Caenorhabditis elegans: one gene and its partner. The protein of the gene in region 1 purifies or fractionates together with the protein of each later gene. This does not show direct contact. Each region holds a gene or a part of one and is shown on either strand. Other genes may lie near its edges. The genes, in order: R05H10.3 and clp-8.

Evidence for each region.
Region 2: the proteins of R05H10.3 (region 1) and clp-8 fractionate together in Caenorhabditis elegans (co-fractionation; one large-scale study listed by BioGRID). This does not show direct contact.

The regions. Positions count from the first base shown.
Region 1 is NC_003280.10:14,867,964-14,872,977, reverse strand, and holds the start of R05H10.3 (Dot/Icm T4SS effector), read right to left. Parts: upstream 3,035-5,014; 5' UTR 3,030-3,034; coding exon 2,918-3,029; intron 2,281-2,917; coding exon 2,171-2,280; intron 2,025-2,170; coding exon 1,874-2,024; intron 379-1,873; coding exon 63-378; intron 1-62. Other genes in the region: gpx-2 (Glutathione peroxidase), read right to left, coding at 3,950-4,286.
Region 2 is NC_003279.8:13,252,328-13,258,439, reverse strand, and holds clp-8 (Calpain catalytic domain-containing protein), read right to left. Parts: upstream 4,300-6,112; coding exon 4,145-4,299; intron 4,099-4,144; coding exon 4,002-4,098; intron 3,228-4,001; coding exon 2,892-3,227; intron 2,340-2,891; coding exon 2,161-2,339; intron 2,118-2,160; coding exon 1,361-2,117; intron 1,315-1,360; coding exon 1,217-1,314; intron 1,168-1,216; coding exon 1,077-1,167; intron 1,001-1,076; coding exon 773-1,000; 3' UTR 711-772; downstream 1-710.

The DNA of each region.
Region 1 (5,014 bases):
TTTAGGTAACTTTTTAGCAACATTTAAAATTTTTGTTTTCTAAATTCCTGAAAATCCCTTACTCCTTCAACTTGACAAGAAGCTTCAGCGACCTCTCGCCTTGCCTCGGCGAATTTCTCAAACTCTCCACATAAGTGATACATTCCTCGGCTGCCAAATCCATAGCATATCTGCTGAGGATCTGTGTCGCCGCATCGGCAATACACGAAGATGGGCTCGCGCGGCTTCTTCTCGCGAATATTTCCACTGCTCCAGAGATGATAAGGAGCCGGCGAGCTTCTGTGGAAGGTACTTGACAGATGAAGTCAGAATATCGACGGCGGAGGAATACGGATGTGTGTTCCTGGTCAATCTCGTTGATAGCCCAGCGGATTACGGCTGAAATTAAAAAAAAACATTTTTTTTGTTTTTGGTTTTTTTTTGAATTTTTTGAGAATGAAAATTTTCGGCCGATCAAGAAATTGCCGGAATTGTAATTTCCGGCAAATCGGCAATATGCGGGAATTAAAAATTTCCGGCGAATCGGCAATATGCGGGAATTGAAATTTCCGGCAAATCAGCAAATCGGCAAAGTGCCGAAAGTGGGAATTTCCGGCAAATCAGCAAGTTGCTGGAATTGAAAATTTCCGGCAAACCGGCAAAATGCATGAATAGAAAATTTCCGGCAAATGGGCAATTCGCCGAAAACGAAAGTTTCCGGCAAATCGGCAAATTGCCGGAATTGGAAATTTCCGGCAAATCGGCAAATTGCCGGAATTGGAAATTTACGGCAAATCGGCAAATTGCTGAAATTGAAAATTTCCGGCAAATCGGCAAATTGCTGAAATTGAAAATTTCCGGCAAATCGGCAAATTGCTGAAATTGAAAATTTCCGGAAAATCGGCAAATTGCCGGAATTGGAAATTTACGGCAAATCGGCAAATTGCTGAAATTGAAAATTTCCGGCGAATCGGCAAATTGCTGAAATTACAAAATTTCCGACAAATCGGCAAATTGCCGGAGTTGGAAATTTCCGGCAAATCGGGAAGTTGCCGGAATTGAAAATTTCCGGCAAATATGCAGTTTGCCGGAATTAAAAATTTCCGGCAAATTGGCAACCTGCCGGAATTGCCCAAATTAAACATTTCCAACAAATCGGGAAATTGCCGGAGTTGAAAATTTCCGGCAAATCAGCAATATGCCGGAATTAAAAATTTCCGGCAAATCGGCAAAGTGCCGGAATTAAAAATTTCCGGCAAATCGGCAATTTACCGGAATTGAACGTTTCCCGCAAATCGGCAAATTAGCGGAATTGAGCATTTCTAGCAAATCGGAAAATTGGCGAATTGCCCGAATTGAAAATTTCCGGTAAATCAGCAAATTGCCGGAATTTGAAATTTCCGGCAAATCGGCAATTTCCCGAAAATGAAAATTTCCGGCAAGTCGGTAAATTGCCGGAATTGAAAAAAAGTTCCGGAAAATTGGCGAATTGCCCGAATTGAAAATTTCCGGCAAATCAGCAAATTGCCGGAATTTAAAATTTCCGGCAAATCGGCAAACTGCCAAATTGTCGATTTTGTCGACGCTCACAAATATCTGTTTCAGGTATTTGGCAAAAAAAGTTAATTTCAAATTAAGAATTTTAATTTTTCCGAATTATTAAGAATTATTAATATTTTCGGATATATTTTTTTTGTGCAAAAAAAAATCAATAATGTTGATATAATTAATTTTTTCCAGAATTCATGCAAAAATTGGCGGAAAATTTTAAATCTTGAATTTTTAGAAATTTTAAAAATTCGCACTAATTTCCTTAATTTCATTGAAACTTTCAAGGTTTCTGTAGCCAAATTCTTCATTTTTCCATCAATTTTCCTCAAAAATCGATTCTTACACAGCCATGCTTCAGGCTTTCGAATCGCAAAGACATCTGGATTGACATAGAGCTTGAAAAGATCATCCAGAAGCTTCAGTGGACGGGATTGGGGAAGAAGAGCTTCACTTCCTTGAATAAATTCGAGCACAAGGTCGTCGTCGTGTAATTTCTGGAATTTTTTTTTGAAAAATAAAAATTTTTTTTAGTTTTAGAGCTCGAAAATTGTGATTTTTGTGCAATTTTTTTGCATTTTTTTCGCGCCAAAATATTGTGATTTTCCCCGAACTTTTATAAATTCCATCCCGATTCCCTTACATGCTTGGTCATCGCCTCGTCGAGCAACCGAATGACCATCTGAATCGGAATGCATTTACTCTCGAAATCGATGCTCCGAACGAAATTCCGAACCACTGTGAGGCTTGTCTCTGCAAAAAATTGCCACTTTGCCGGAAATTTTCATTTTTGGCAAATTGCCGGTTTGTCGTTTGCCGGATATCAAAATGCAAAACACTGAGTTTTTTTTGTTGTAATTTTCCCGTTTTCTTTAAATATTTTCATATATCAAAAAAATGTGAAAAATCACAATTTGCCGGAAATTTTCATGTCCAACAATTTGCCGATTTGCCGGAAATTTTCAAGTCCAACAATTTGCCGATTTGCCGGAAATTTTCAATTCTGGCAATTGGTCAATTTGCCGGAAATTTTCAATTACTGCAATTCGCCGATTTGCCGAAAATTCTAAAGTCCGGCAATTGACCAATTTGCCGGAAATTTTCAATTACTGCAATTTGCCGATTTGCCGGAAATTTCCAACTCCGGCAATTTGCCGATTTGCCGAAATTTTCAATTTCAGCAATTCGCCGATTTGCCGGAAATTCTAAAGTCCGGCAATTGGCTAATTTGCCGGAAATTTTAAATTAATGCAATTCGCCGATTTGCCGGAAATTTTCAAGTCCAACAATTTGCCGATTTGCCGGAAAATTGTTTTTCTTTAAATTTGAGAAAAAAGTCCCATGCGCCTTTAAACTGAATTGCGCCAATATTCCAGGAATGTATAATAACCTTCAAACTGAATGCTATCGACGAGTTTATCGATTAGTGTGTCGTCAAATGAATGCGGGAGCTCATCGTACACGGAGCAAATCGAGACGAGCCGTTCTAGTAAAAGGTCCATTTTGTCTGAAATAATTATTGAAAAATCTTTTAAAAAATCGAATTTTATCGAGGAAAAGCTAATTTTTTTTCGATTTTATCTCACTAAATTCCAAAAAAAATTGATTTTTAAAAATCAGTGTAATCTCCAGTAAAATCCACGTGGAATTCCAGAAAAAAACCTCAAAAACTAGAGAAAAAAAAATTAAAAATCAGCAACAAAAAGTAGGAAACTCTGCGAAAATTGACAGCACAATGATGACAAGAAAAAGATGTTAAAATTTGAAAAAAAAACGTTTTTGCAAAAATTTTTTACTTTATTTTTGTGCAAAAATAGATATTTACAAAGCGAGAAGTGGGAAAAGCTAGAGTACTTAGAAATTAAATTAGGAACGGGGTTTTTGTGGAAAAAAATTAGGAGAAAATTGAGTGAAAATGAGGGAAAAAAATTGAAAATCTGGAAAATTCGATTTTTAGTGAAATTCTCGAAAAAAAAGCTTAGAAAACCGGAAAATTTAATTTTTCTGCAAATAAAAATCTGTAAAATTCGCAGATTTTTAGTGAAATTTTCGAAAAAAAAAAGCTGAGAAAACCGGAAAATTTAATTTTTCTGCAAAAAAATCTGTAAAATTCATAAATTTTTAGTGAAATTCTCGAAAAAAGTTCAAAAAAATCTGGGAAATTTGAATTTTTTTGTTGAAATTGTGAAAAATTTTGAATTCAGAAAAGTCGGAACAAAAACTCTGAGAAAATTCAAAAAATAAATAATTATTTGAATTTTTTTGGAAAAATTGGAAAAAATCTGAAATTTCATAGATTTTTAGCAAAATTGTTCAAATTTTTTCGAAAAAAATCCAAAAATTCATAGAAATTCCTAGATTTATCGAATTTTCCCAAGTTTTCACTCGATTTTTCTCCATTTTTTCAGCTCAAAAAAAATATTTAAAGTTTGGCTTGAAGTGCGGCCTCGATATCCTTCTTCATATCCTTCGGCTCAGTAGTCGGTGAGAATCTCTTGATAACGTGACCATCTCTGCCAACGAGGAATTTCGTGAAGTTCCACTTAATCGCGTCGACCAAAAATCCGCCCTTCTCCTGTTTCAAGAACTTGTACAGTGGAGCAGTGTTGTCTCCGTTTACGTCGATTTTTTGGAACAGGGTTGGCTCGAATTTGAATTTGTCGGCGACGAACGCGGCGATATCGATCTCGCATGATGGTTCCTGACCACCGAATTGATTGCACGGGAATGCGAGAACTTCGAGTCCGTCTTTTTTGTACCTTGAAAAAAAAGGAAATTTTAGGAAATTTCTAAAAAATTTGCTGTTGAAATATAAAAAAATTAATTTTGCAAAAAAAAGATGAATATGATTTTTTTTTGCTCATAAATCGAAAAAAAATTAAAGTTAAAATTTAGAAAAATCTTATAATTTTTTAAATTTTTGTAAAAGTTTATTTTTTATTTTTTTTTCACTCGAAAATCTTCTGATAAAAGTGTTTTTTGGTCAAAAAGTAAAAGACAGTGAAAAAATTTATGAAAGCTTTCTAATTTTTTTAATGATTTTTTTTTTTTAATTTAAAAAAAAAAATTACAAAACGGCTGAATTATTTATTTATTTTTGAATTCCCGCGCAAATGAGTGACGTCATTTTCGGGATTTTTGAGTTTTCCGGCTGTTTTAATGGGTTTTCTTCATTTTTTCGTTGTTTTATAATTTGAAACATTAATTGTAAATTTGCAACACATATTTTCCGTCAAGAAAATTTTTTTTGAGGAAGAATTGGCAAATTATGTTTTAAAATTTAAAAAAACGCAAAAATGTCGAAAAATATATAAAATTTAGAATTTTTTATTTAAAAAATTCTAAATTTTTTTCAAATTTCGAATTATTTTTGTTTTTGGTTTAGCAAAAAATCCTATTCATTTTTTCTGCAATATTTAATTTTTTTTATATTTTTCTAAATAAAATCTCATTTTTGAGCTGAAAGTTCCCGGTAAAAGCGAAAATT
Region 2 (6,112 bases), on another chromosome or scaffold:
ATCGTATCAGCGTTCAAGTTCCGTTAGAATATTGGCAGCATAACCGGCGTTGTGAATAAATATATGTTTTCTTACAATTTTCATGTTCGTTTCTTAATGTTCCATTTGCCAATTTTTCTTTCAAATAAATGTATTACATCACTTTTGAGAAGTTTTTCAAATTTTTCATTGCATACACCAATTCATGATTTCATCGTCCTTTTTTTCTATGCTGAATTTTGTAACTTCTTCAATGTTCTTTTTTGTTTCACTTTTTTGAATACATAAATTTTGTTTCTGTTTAAGGGTTTAATCATAGAAGCTTGACAATTATCTAAAATTGTTTAGTTGGATGGGACCAAGAGTAGTTGCCGTTAAAAATGTTTATTTTTCATCTCGGGTACTTTTTTTGGTTTTTTTCTGAACATTTTTTAATAATAAGGTATGATTTTAATAGTAAACAACCATTTTCCTACGTTTTTATAATAATTTTAATTTAAAAAGTTGGATTATCATAGTAAAACTAACAGTTCTTTACGATTACCGGAAATATTATCAGCACAGCTTGGTATGAATAATGCTATATATACAATTCAACAAGATACAATACAGTGTGCTTCAAGAAGCTTTAACAAAAATTTAAAAACATCAAACTTAATTAATTGGTAGATCCACCATGACATCGAAATCCTGAAAAACCTTCAAATAAAACTATTGACCTTAGTGTAATTGGACTTCAATTGGACTTCATTTGACAGTGGGATACAAATTCGACATACAATGCGTAAGTTTATCAGTTCAATTTCGACAGTACTTCAATTTCCGGTATGAAATCATCCAATGAAATTATCTCCTCACGATGAACATATTCTAAGAAACGAGATGAAGATATTTCTGGAAGGTGGCATCCTCTTTTGATTCCATTGATTGTTGCATCAACATCTTTTGAAAGTTTATAATCAATGTCAATTGGGAAATCCACTATTTCAGGCATTGCTTCAAGATTTATCACAACCAAAACCTGAAAGAGTGTTTTTGATATGTCGTATGTGTTTATTTATAAGGCTTATCACTAGCCTAATATACTAAAAACTAGCCTGGTGCCTTCTTGGAGGAATTACATCAACTGTTTGCTTGTCTTCTAAACTTCTAGAGACAAATTGTTCATCAGTGATTGAGTAACGCAAACTGAAATAGGTGAAATAGTAGAACATAACTAAAAAAACATTAGACTCACTGAGCATGTAGAAACTGATCATATGTGAAGTTCCATGCAACTACTGCGATGAATGTGAAATTATTATCAGTGTACTTCTTAATGCTCATTTTATCCTTCTGAATATTAAAAAGGCTTATATATTGACTTCATTGTTTACAATACCTGCTCTTTCACAATTTCTTGCCCAAACTTATCCACTATATATTTTATATGTACGCTATCTTTCCTTGTTCTCGAAAACCCTTCATTGACCGAAATTGGTCGGGAAGAGTGAATTGAGATGTCTCGTTTGTCCAAGCTCCAGTCATTGAGATAAATGACTGTGATAGTGTATATACCAGGTTCTAAATCGATATCCTGAGTAGAATCGTTGATGATCTCACATGCAACTACTTTTTTATTATCAGAAAATATGCCGTTGATCTTGTGTACTGCAATCCAGCTATACCTCTGAACATATTTTGGCATTTGAAATTCGACAGTTTTTAAGAGTACCTCACGAGAAATCCAGTCGTCAACCGCCGAAATACAGACCATGCACTTTTCAGTGACTTTGATATCGATAGCCGGAAATGCGTCATCTTCTGGATATTTAAGAACCAGTTTGGCATAATAAGCAAACCAATTTGAACGATGACGACAAACATAAATGGAACAAAAAACATTTAAAAAATCATCCCACGAAATCCAGAAAGATCCTCGAATCATTCCTTCCAAGAGATCTTTCATATTCTCGGGCCACCATTCCCATTCCTTTGACCAATTTCGAGTCCAAACGCTGCCTCCACTTGGATTTCTGAGAAGAAGAAGTTTGTGCCCATCTCTTTCAACAATATCCATAATAGTATAGGCATGTTGTGGAAGTATTCCGTTGACTTCTCGGTTCAAGGTGCCACATGCCATCGGATATTGATTATTTCTGAATACATGGTACAATAATTTAGAAGTCTGAAAATTCAAACCTGAACTCCATCAGTGTCTTCCAGTATTTTCTAAGATTATTGAACATTTTGGCAACTGGAATGAGCAACACAGGTGATCCAGTAAGAGCAGAAAATGCAGACAAACTTTGAAATCCATGAATTCCTTTATAATTACCACATTCCTTAACAAGAGCTTTTTCAATAAGCGCTGCCCATATCTGAAAGTTAAGTTTACGCGTGTTCAATGAATCTATATTTTGACGATATCGTAGGTACTCGGAAAATTGCTGATCCTGAAGCGCGCTCTAGTCTCATCATATACAATATTGTTAGCGCTCCATCTGCGCCACGTCCGCACTCTAATCTCGGCAGTTTCCGGGAGCTTTCTAGTAGACTTCTCCACCTTTCAAAAAACATTTAGCAAACAGTGGAGAACGGCGAAGAAGTGCGGAGAAGTGCGCTATTGTTCTATCAATATTTTCTTTTTTGTTTTGATTTCTAAAGAGACCTGATTAAGAATGAACTTTATTAAGAGAAGGCAAGATATGCGCAAGAAAGGTGCCGTTGTTTGCCGAGATGGTGTCCTCTCCGTGCGCATACCGAATTTAAAAAATTCTTGCAAACTTTTGTATACGTGGAGAGGACGTGATAAGGGCGCTGGCGGGAAACGGAACGATCACGAATCATTAATCCAGTTACATCCCGTAAGCGTTCCAGGACCAGCGATTTACCGATTATCCAAATTATATTGATCCAAAAATTGTTAATACCTGATACCCAGAAGTAGCGCCAATTCTGATTCCATCTGTTGTATACGGAAAATAATCGTCAATGATGATAGTTTTCCATTGACCATCCACAAACAGTTTTACTTTATACACACCGTATTTCGATAGTTGCAGTGAATCAAAAATGTTCATGATAACTTCAGGCTTTGTGGAAATTGCAGACAAAGCAGCAACAAGACCACAATCTCCAACTTTTCTTTGAAACACCTCGTACGCGGTGAAAGTCAATGGATTATAAACTGACAAACTGGATGACACGTCGGTGGAAGGTGGTGTTATTCGACGCCAGATTTTCGGGAACAACCAAGTTTTCCAACTCTGAAAACTTTTAGCTATGCACATGTTTTTTGGTAATTCAGTTAATTGTTGTTTATTTTAGTAACTGGATAATATATAACCAAATATTATAATATGCATAATATAAATGAGCAGAAGGGTTATTTGAATAATATAATACATAAAATAAAATAGACCCGTAAGACTCCATTGAAAGAAAAATAAATCAAACAAAAGTAAATAATTATAATAGAACGAAATTTTAAAAGAACAAGATTTGTTGGTTTATAATGGGGTTAATCAAATAGTTTCGTTATATTGAAAAGTGTATTTCAATAAACTTTTTGCCTTATTCAAGAAACTTCAAAAACGTGCACTTAAATACAGTTTGTGACGTAATTTCGCGACATTTCTGGACGTTTCTCGACATTTTTTCACTGTTGTTTTATCAGAATTGATCTTCTGCAGCGAGTTTTGTGAATTTTCACATTTTGTGGACACCATCTTTCATTGGTGTGTCTTTCATTGAGTTGTCCACTTTCTGGTTGTTGGATAATGTCGAGAAAAGTCGGGAAATGTCACGAAATGGCGTCACAAACTGTTTTGAAATACTATTGTTTTGAACTGTACTTGAATGAGGGAAAATGTGTTTAAAATTACACTTTTTAATTTCACGACACTACTTGGATAACCCCATAACATATTTCAGGTTAATATGAGCGATTGACTTAATTTTTGATAATGTTGATCTCTTCAATTCTTTTTTTTCGATGATTCTTCCAAAATCAAGGGGTCTTACAGAACTTTTGAACATACCTCGTACTTCCCATATACCTTCGATTGCTCGTCAAAGGTCATATAAGACTTGGGCTCATGTGGAAACTCTTTATCGATGAATGCAGATTTGGATCTTCTGAAAACTGGCTTGTGTTTCTAAATGAAATTTGAAAAATTCTTACTGGCAATCTTCCAAAATGCTCTTAAACTTTTCATTCGCTTCTTTTTCATTCTCGTGATCACCGAGAAATATAGTCCAGTTCATGTTCGTACAATATTTATCCTCATTGTATTTCTCTATTAGCTCCAAAAGCTCCTCTTCCTGGGGCGAATTCATTCCGTTAAAAGTTTAGAAATGACAAAATACGGTTTTTTACGGAACATTCTTTTGTTTTGTCAAAATGTTTTTTAGAAAAAAAAAATGTATTCCACGTTTTTAATAAACTAAATTCTGACGAATGAATCAAAATTGTACGGCAAATACTAGTAATTTCATTAGGATAATACCACTTTTTGCAGCAAAATTCATATAAAAGTGTAAGAAAATTCTTGTACTTAATTTGTCAAAAAGTTAGAAAAATCCTCATTTTAGTGCCTGTCTTTGTTAAGCCTGTTAAAAAATAAGCATGATTTCAGACCTAACGTTTTCTATATTATTATTACTGAATTCAAACATTTCAGTTATCACAGTAAAATTAATATTTTTAGGCGTTTGCCGCATGGCCGTGCATGAATTTTGCTTGTTATGTATATTCAACCACCCCCCGGCTCAAGCAGTTACCGATTGAGCCAGGGAGGATGAGGAAATCCTTGTTTCGGAGTGGTTTCCGGCCCATGAGGTACTGAAAGGATTAACAAAAGACTCTTATTCTATTAATTCATTTATTACGAGTGATTCAAGGGAAAAGCCTTGAATCACTAACACTCAAACATTCATTTAAACGTGCCACCGTCGGGCACGTGCTGTGGTGGTGAAGCCCGATGCAGACTGCCGACGACTGACGATATAGGCCAATGTGCGCTGCGCCATGATGACAAGAGTACGGTCGCAGTCGTTGTTGTATGTGTCGTGGCGAGACCTCATGCGCCTTGAATCCTCCTTTTGGCGGTAGTTTGAATTGGGGTTTTGCCGTCGTCCTTTTACAGAGTAGCTGTCATTGATTGCACGGATGAAGTTGAGTATTGAAGAGCATGTGTTACGTAATAACGATGAATCAATCTTTACATTTAATCATTTGTTAATAAATCCTTAGATTTATTAATAAGTCGTGAGCGAGTGAATCTTTGTATTCACCGACTTCGCGACAATCCTAGGTCATCGGTGACTGTGACAAAAATGTTTGTTTGTTTGTTCTTGACCCTTTTTTTCCTTTTTTTTTGGGACGAAAAAATTCGCAAGAAAATTTTCCCGTGGTGAAGAGTTGAACTCTATTACAGTAAGCTCTTCCAAGGTCCCAACCAAAAATCACAAATTTGAGTAGTTGAACTGTAATTCTGAAAAATTTCTACTAAACCGATTTCACATATCAATAATCAATTTTCATTCGGAAGTGGGATACAAATTCGACAGAAAGTTCAATTTTGACAGTAATTGCTTGGAAGATCCAGAAAACAGTCAGCCACGGAAATTCGCTCCTCACGGTGAACTTGCTCTAAGAATCGAGATGAAGATATTTCTGGAAGATGACATCCTCTTTTGATTCCATTGATTGTTGAATCAACATCTTTTGAAAGTTTATAATCAATGTCAATTGGGAAATCCACAATCTCCGGCATTGCATATTGTTCGATTACTACCAAAATCTACAATTTCATCTACATGATGAATGTGATACTGAAAAAAAGTTACCTGAACACCCCTTGGAGGAATAACATCAACTGTTTGATTGTCTTCTAAACTTCTAGAGACCAATTGTTCATCGGTGATTGAGTAACGCAAACTGGAAAGGACAAAAGCACAACGTATATCTAAAATAAAAATTGGACTTACTGAACATGTAGAAACTGATCATATGCGAAGTTCCATGCAACTACAGCGATAAATGTGGAATTATTATCAGTGTACTTTTTAATGCTCATTTTATCCTTCTGAATATTAAAGAAGATTATATATTGTTTCACTGACTTTTTTTTAAACATTACCGGCTCTT